Linked DNA regions of Lonchura striata. The protein of the gene in region 2 purifies or fractionates together with the protein of the main gene of each other region. This does not show direct contact. Links are inferred from orthologs where the notes say so. Each region holds a gene or a part of one and is shown on either strand. Other genes may lie near its edges.

What was found. The genes of interacting proteins can lie anywhere in the genome.
Region 1: the proteins of NF2 (region 2) and AMOTL1 purify together in Homo sapiens (affinity purification with mass spectrometry; 6 studies listed by BioGRID and IntAct, counting the BioPlex papers as one, with this or other methods). This does not show direct contact. The link is inferred for Lonchura striata from reciprocal best matches to the Homo sapiens genes NF2 and AMOTL1.

What each region holds. Positions count from the first base shown.
Region 1 is NC_134604.1:39,569,328-39,573,070, forward strand, and holds the start of AMOTL1 (angiomotin-like protein 1), read left to right. Parts: upstream 1-1,036; 5' UTR 1,037-1,069; coding exon 1,070-1,112; intron 1,113-3,743. UniProt on the Homo sapiens protein: Inhibits the Wnt/beta-catenin signaling pathway, probably by recruiting CTNNB1 to recycling endosomes and hence preventing its translocation to the nucleus.
Region 2 is NC_134620.1:2,945,122-2,948,864, reverse strand, and holds the start of NF2 (merlin), read left to right. Parts: upstream 1-1,527; 5' UTR 1,528-1,570; coding exon 1,571-1,684; intron 1,685-1,750; exon of another isoform or gene 1,751-2,953; intron 2,954-3,743. UniProt on the Homo sapiens protein: Probable regulator of the Hippo/SWH (Sav/Wts/Hpo) signaling pathway, a signaling pathway that plays a pivotal role in tumor suppression by restricting proliferation and promoting apoptosis.

The sequences.
Region 1 (3,743 bases), on a different chromosome or scaffold from region 2:
GTGAGCCTTTATGGGGCTGTGAGCACAGTGAATGGTTTCTTCAGCCTGTTGCTGCATTTCTTCCTACCTGTCTTTATCTATTTGGCACAGTATTGAGGAGGAAGAAGCCACCATCAGTCCCTAGAAGAAAGAAGTACAAATACAATGGACAGTCCAGGCATCACTGGGCAACTTTCTGGACTGAAAGAGGTTGAAGCACTGAGATGGGGAAACACAAGCAGTATCCTGGCAGTGCCACTTATCCCAAAAGACGCCTACCCTACGGGGCAGTGCTGGGAATAGGGTGTGTTGGGACTGCACAACCCAGTCTTTGCCCACATGGCTGCAGGGATGGGAATGAAGTGCTGTGCAAACATCAGGGGAGCTCTTCTGCCATGTACCCTCTGTCAAAACCGTTGGCAGCAGGGCTGGAGTGGTCTGGGGAGATGGAGCGGTGGGTCACTCCAGCCCTAATGAATGCTCATCCCGTGCAGCTGGTGTGCCAAACCACAAAGACATCTGGTGGAGCAGGTGGGCAGCAGGGCAAGGGGCTGAGCTCAGGAATGGGGCGGTGAGTTTAGGAATGAAATGGTATTCCCAGTCAATCCCCGAACAGCCATCCACTCCTCCATGGACAGGGAGAAGCTAGAGGTCTGGGAGACAAGGAGGATGCCCAGGGTTAATTCACGGGCTTCGGACTCGGCGTAACCTTCACCACTTGTCCCGCAAGGGACCAGGGAGTCTGTGGCGGTCTCTAGGTCGGGATTTAGATCCCGGGCATCCCCAGACACAAGGCGGGGCAGCCGTGGTGCCACACAGGCTCCCCCCGGGCGTACCCAGGTGCCTCCATTGGCTCCGGGTGGGGCCGCGAGTCTCCAACCTGGGGCGCGAAGCTCCCCCGACCCTGCCTCCCCCACATCCCCGACAGGAGGGGCGGGAGGGGCGGGCAGCGGCCGCCCCGCGCCGGGAGGTGCCGGACCGCCCCCGGGCCCGCCCCGTCGGCTGCCCCCGCCCCCGGCGGCCCCGCCCGGCCCGGCCCGGCCCGCGGCGGCCGGCGGAGCGCGCCCGGCGGCGGCGGGGAGCGGCGCGGATGGCAGCGGTGCTGCCGGGGACGGCGGGGCGCGGAGCCGGAGGTAATGGCGGGGAAGGAGCCGGTGTCCGGGTGTCCCCGCACGGCTGCGTGTCCGTGCGTACATGTTCGCGCACACGTGTGTCTGTGCGTGGGGGTGCGGGCGCACGTGTGTGCCGGGGAGCGCGCCGCGCTGTGCGTGGGTGCCGCGGCGGGATGGCGCTTCTCGTGCCCACCCGTGAGTGCTGCCGTGCCCGCCGCCCTCCCGGGAGGATGCGGGAAGGCCTGAGCAGCCTTCCGCCGGCTGCCGGACCCAGCGCACCCGCTGCTCCCCGGGCTGCGTGGGTGCGGGAGCGGGGCCGCGTCCGTGCTAAGCCGGCCCGACGCTCCGGTAGACCCGAGCCGCCGGCCCGGCGGCCGCCGCTGCTCCCGCTCCTCCGCTCCCGGAGTCCTCCCCGGGAATCTTCCCCGCTCCGGGAAGGCAGAGCGGCGCGGGGCGAGCCCCGGAACAGTCGGAGCGGGGTGTCTGCAGTATATTCTGCGGGAGGAACGCGCCGGGGGTCCGCCGCCCCGGCGCTCCCGGGAGGAGCGAAGCGCCGGCCGGGAGCGCGGGGAGTGTTTCCCGTTTCCGCAGCAGCGATCGCAGCGTCCCCGCGGGTCCCCAGCGCCGGGCGGTCACTCGGAGCGGCCCCGCAGCGCCCACCGGGACACCGGCCCCGTCCCGTCCCGTCCCGTCCCGCGGGTGCAGCGGGCGGCAGCGCCGGCCGCAGGGGACACGCAGCAGGGGCCTCCCACGCCGGGAGAGCGCTTTCTCACGGTGTTGTTATAGGGGGATGGCGAGAGGGAACTTTTTTTGTATTTAACCTTACTACCTATGCAGGGAACAAAGATAAACTCCGGTTAAAAAAAAAAAAAAAAAAGTCAGCATTGAAAGGAAAAAAAAAAAACCCAAAAAACCACGACGTGAATTTAACCCGAATCCTCCTGCCAGGTTTTATGATTCATAGCTTTAAGTACAGGAAGGTCGCTGCTTGGGCTTTTTCCTCTTTCGATGGAAAGAGGTTTTTTTTTTTCTTTCCTGGTGCTGTGAGAGCATCCCAGGAGCTGTGGGCAGCTGCTGTAAGAGACGAGGATCTGGTGACTGAGAGTCTGCAAGACCCTTTTTGTGCATCCACTGAGTTTGGGTTATGCCTTTTTATGTATAGAAATAAGCCTAAAAGCTTCCTGAAAGAATGGTGGCAGTGAACATGAGTCCTATGAATTTTCCTGAGCACAGCTATCTGGCAGCGCCATTCCTGCTAACAGGTGTGCATGTATATAGTTTATATATAGATATTAAATATATATCTAAATATATTTAGATGTATGTTTCTGTATTTTTATATTTTTACATATATATATAGACATATATGTCTGCATATATTGTATATAAATAAAATATAGACCATGTGTATATATTTACTTTTATACAAACAACAACAACATATATGTGTGTATATATACATAGTCATTTCTAATGGCCAGAAAAGCATTTCCAAGGGTTCTACAAATACATTATCAAGAAATGTCCAAGTGGTGGGGGCAGGGAATATTGGATTGGCAAGAGCCCATAGTAGAGCCCTCTCTGGGGCTGTGCTGGGTGCATGGCATGGCCCTCCATGGAGGGTCAATGTCCTGCCCAGCCTTCCTCATCCCCAGCCATGACTAGAGCAGTGGTGTGAGGGGATGAATTTGGGGAGGCTGGTTTTAGGTTGTTAAACAGGGGAGGTATGTGCCCCACAGTGTTGCTGGGGTTGGGCTTCTCAGTTTCCCCAGGCTGTGTGGGGGCCACTGGGACCCCCCAATCACCTGCATGTCCATTCTCATCTGTCCTGATGTTCGTTGCCCCCCGTTTTCCCTCTGTCAACATTTGGCAGGGGAAACTTTACTTTCCCTCTTCTTTTGGAAGGCGCTCAGCTGCTGGAGGAGGGCAGCTTCAATCCATAGAGGCACGTCTGGCCTCTCCTAAGCCCAGATGTCTGCAGGATTGGTGACAGGGTGAGGGCAGTTTCCAAATCCTGGCCTCCCACGGTGATCTGGACCAAGTCTCTGCACATTAGTCCCTGGATGGAGGGATGGATGCACGGATACAGCTCTGGTGCTCCTTGCAAGAGCTCCTCTGTGAGGAAACGCCAGCACAGAGCCAAAGGCTTTGCGTTTCTCCAGCAAAGACACACCTAAGGGGTTGGAAGGGATCCCAGCAGCAGCCTGGGGAGGGTCAGGCACAACCAGACTCTGTGCACATGAGTGTTTCAGGATTATGTGGAGATGTTACTGCTGACCATTGCACCTTTCCTTCAGGAAATGAAAGCCTGAGTCCACAGTACCTTTTTTTCTCACTCATAGGCGCGTAACTCGCTTTAAAGGCCAGGTCTGGTGTAAATGTTATTTGGTGCTAAGGCAGGAGTGTGTGCCCTGTGCAGCCTTCTGGTCCTGGAAACCATTAGGAGGACAGCTGCATACTTGGATTTTCACACACAGACTATCTGCTAATGTAATAGTCCCAGTGGAAAGTTTAGTGCTCGGGAATATTTTGCGGATTTGAGAAAAATCCCAGGAGGATTTTTGGTTTCATATAGCAATTGCTTTTTGGCAGCTTTGGTGTAGATGTAATCTGGTCCCCATTTATGTCCTGAATTTTTAAATGGAATGGCCT
Region 2 (3,743 bases):
GGCGCTGGTCCCAGTCTCTGCCCCCACGCTCGGCTGCCCCCGGGACCGCGCGGGTCCCCTCGCCCCGGCAACCACCGAGGGGGCAGCACCCCGTGTCACCCAGGGAACCCCGTCCTGCGGGGACACCCCATGGCACTGGGGACACCCCATGGCACTGGGGGCACCCCAAGGACCTCACGGACCCCCAAAACCCTCAGATCTCAGCGATCCCTGACACCCCAAGGACCCTTACGCCCCACGGGCTCTGCACACCCCCCGGACACCCCCAAATCCCGGACACCCGGACACCTCGGGGACCCCTGACATCCCGGGGACCCCGGGCCCCACAGACCCTGGACACCCCACTGACCAGGGGTCCCGGCCACCCCACGGACACGCCGGACATCCCTGGATCCCGGACACCCCGCGGACCCCTGACACCCCACGGGCTCCGGACACGCCAGGGTCCCCTGACATCCCCCCTGCCTCCCGTGTCCCGGGGTCGCCGTGTCCCTATCCCCGTGTCTTTGTGTCCCGGTGTCCCTGCCTCCGTGTCCCTGCCTCCCGTGTCCCGGTGTCCCCGATTCCCATGTTCCCGTGTCCCCGTGTCCCTCCCTCCCGTGTCTCCATGTCCCAGTGTTCCGGTGTCCCCGTTTCCCCGTGTCCCCGTTTCCCCGACTCCCATGTCTCCGTGTCCCCGTGTCCCCGTGTCCCTCCCTCCTGTGTCCCTCCCTCCCGTTTCTCCGTCTCCCGGTGTCCCGGTGTCCCGGTGCCCCGGTGTCCCCGTGTCCCGGTGTCCCGGTGTCCCGGTGTCCCCGTGTACCGGTATCCCCGTGTCCCGGTGTCCCGGTGTCCCCGTGTCCCGGTGTCCCGGTGTCCCGGTGTCCCTCCCTCCCGTGTCCCCGTGTCCCCGTGTCCCGGTGTCCCGGTGTCCCGGTGTCCCGGTGTCCCGGTGTCCCCGTGTCCCCGTGTCCCTCCCTCCCGTGTCCCCGTGTCCCCGTGTCCCGGTGTCCCGGTGTCCCGGTGTCCCCGTGTCCCTCCCTCCCGTGTCCCGGTGTCCCGGTGTCCCGGTGTCCCCGTGTCCCGGTGTCCCGGTGTCCCGGTGTCCCTCCCTCCCGTGTCCCCGTGTCCCCGTGTCCCGGTGTCCCGGTGTCCCGGTGTCCCGGTGTCCCGGTGTCCCGGTGTCCCCGTGTCCCTCCCTCCCGTGTCCCCGTGTCCCCGTGTCCCGGTGTCCCGGTGTCCCGGTGTCCCCGTGTCCCTCCCTCCCGTGTCCCGGTGTCCCGGTGCCGGGTCCTGGCGCTCGTCCCCGCCAGCAGAGCGCTCCGCCCGCCACCAGGGGGCGACACCACCCCGCCACATCGCTTCCTCACGCCGCTCTTCATGGCCCCGCCTCACCCCGCCCTTTCTCTTGAGCGACGTCCCCACTACCCAATCACAGCCGCTTCTCCTCCCGCCTCTTCAGCACACCCATTTCTATTGGCTGGGAGGGGCGGAGGGGCGGGCGCGCCGCGCTGCGCGGCCAATGGCGGGGCGGAGGGGGCGGGGCCGGGCCGCCATGGCGCCGCCGCCGCGCTGACCGTGCCGCGCCGCCATGGCCGGGGCCATCGCGTCCCGCATGAGCTTCAGCTCCCTCAAGCGCAAGCAGCCCAAGACCTTCACCGTGCGCATCGCCACCATGGACGCCGAGATGGAGTTCAGCTGCGAGGTGACGGCCCGCGCGGGCGCGGGGTCCCGCTGAGGGCCCGGCCCCCACCCCCCAGCCCTGAGGCCCCTCCGGTCCCTCCCGGCCCCCCCCGCCGGTTCCCTGGGCCGGCAGCGGCTCGGCCTTGTTCTGCTTATAAATCAGCCTTATCCTGGTGTCATTTGCGTTATAATTGCACAACAATCTGCCTACAATTCGGCTTTTCTTTGGTTAATAACTCACCTTTACTTTGGTTATGAATCGGTACCATTTGGCTTTGCTTTGGTCATAAGTTGGCTTTGTTTTGGTTGTGATTCAGTGTTTATTGCTTGTAAAATTCAGTTGTATTCTGATCATAGTTTGGCTTAGTTGTTGTTGTCAGTAGTCCTTATTATGTGTGTAACTCAGCATTGTTTTGGTCATAAATTGGCTTTTTTTCTGTGTATAATTTTGCTTTAGCCTGGGTATATTTGGCATTATTCTGGTTATTATCCATCTATGCTTTGGTTATAATTCAGCTTTATTTTGGCAATTATTCATCTTCACTCCAGGTGCAATTTAGCTTTATTTGGGTTATTATTTGGCTTCATTTCGATTACAATTCGATCTCGTCCTGGGTGCAATTTGGCATTACTCTGGTTATAATTAATCCTATACTTTGGCTATAATTCAGCTTAATTCTGGGTATAATTCAGTTTTATCCTGGTTATAATTCAGCTTTATTCTCATTACAATCCAGCTTCCCTTGGGCTCTAATCCAGCGCTGTCCTGCCATCCCAGCCCAAGTCACCACTACACTGTGGCTGTCACAGGGCTTGAGGAATCTCTGTGTCAAGGCTTAAATCCACAGGAATCCAACTCCCAGGTGCTCCACAAACACCCAAGGACAGGATTTTGGCATTTTCCTGAGCTCTTAGCTCACCATGAAGCTGAGGGATGCTCCGGGGGGTTGGGTCTGGCTTTTCTGTGATAATTTCCCTTTTTGGGGCCCTTGGAACTTGTAAGGCGTTCTCCCAGGGCGTTGCTGCCAAACTTTGCTTTTTCAGCTGATCCAGAGGGATTGGCCACACGAACACTGAAACCCCTCTCCAACCTCTGCATTTAATAGTTTATATTTCATTATCCTGCCCCAAACCCTGAGAGAATCCCAGCGCCCATCAGCCAAGGGGAGTTTGTCATCACCGATTTCCTGGCTCTGGAAATCTGCTCTCAGCCCTGAAGGACTTCCTGCTTTTCCTTGGGATTAAGGATTTGCTCTGGGCAGCCGTGTGAGCTTCCCACTTCCAGCAGAGTGTGAGTGTCCTGGCTGTGTTTTCCCTGGTTTCCCAAGGCTGCAGCAATAACTGATGGTGGAAAGTAAATAAATGTGAATTTTAGTGCTGTGGCCGCGTGTCACTTCGGGTGTCACTTCCCGCTGAGATCAGGGGGGTTTGTGCAGCATTCCCGTGGGATTTGGCCGTGGAACTGCTGCATCTCCAGCTGACTTTCCTGGGAGGTTCCTGCCAAAAGAACTTGTTGCTGCAGAGGGACTCCTGCAGCTGGAAGGAGCTCAGGCCCTGCTGGGGGCTCCTTGTGGTGGAGCTGGTGCAGGGGGGATGCAGAGGGAATTCAGAGCTCGTCCTTCAGCAGGGAATATTGGAGCAGGAGGGGGGATAGATGGATGCAGGTGGGTGATGGGGCTGTTTCACACCTTGCAGGTGAGGAGTGAGTTTTTATGGAATCGTGGAACGGTTTGGGTGGGAAGGGATCTTAAAGCTCATCCCGTTCCACCTCCTGCCATGGGCAGGGACATCTCTCACTGTCCCAGGCTGCTCCCAGCCCCATCCAGCCTGGCCTTGGGCACTGCCAGGGATCCAGGGGCAGCCACAGCTGCTCTGGGCACTCTGTGCCAGGGCCTGCCCACCCTCACAGGGAACCTTCTCAATCTCCCATCCATCCCTGCCCTCTGGCAGTGGGAGCCATTTCCTGTCTCCTGTCCCTCCATCCCTTGTCCCCAGTCCCTCTCCAGCTCTCCTGGAGCCCCTTTAGGCCCTGGAAGGGCTCTGAGCTCTCCCTGGAGCTTCTCCTCTCCAGGTGAGCACCC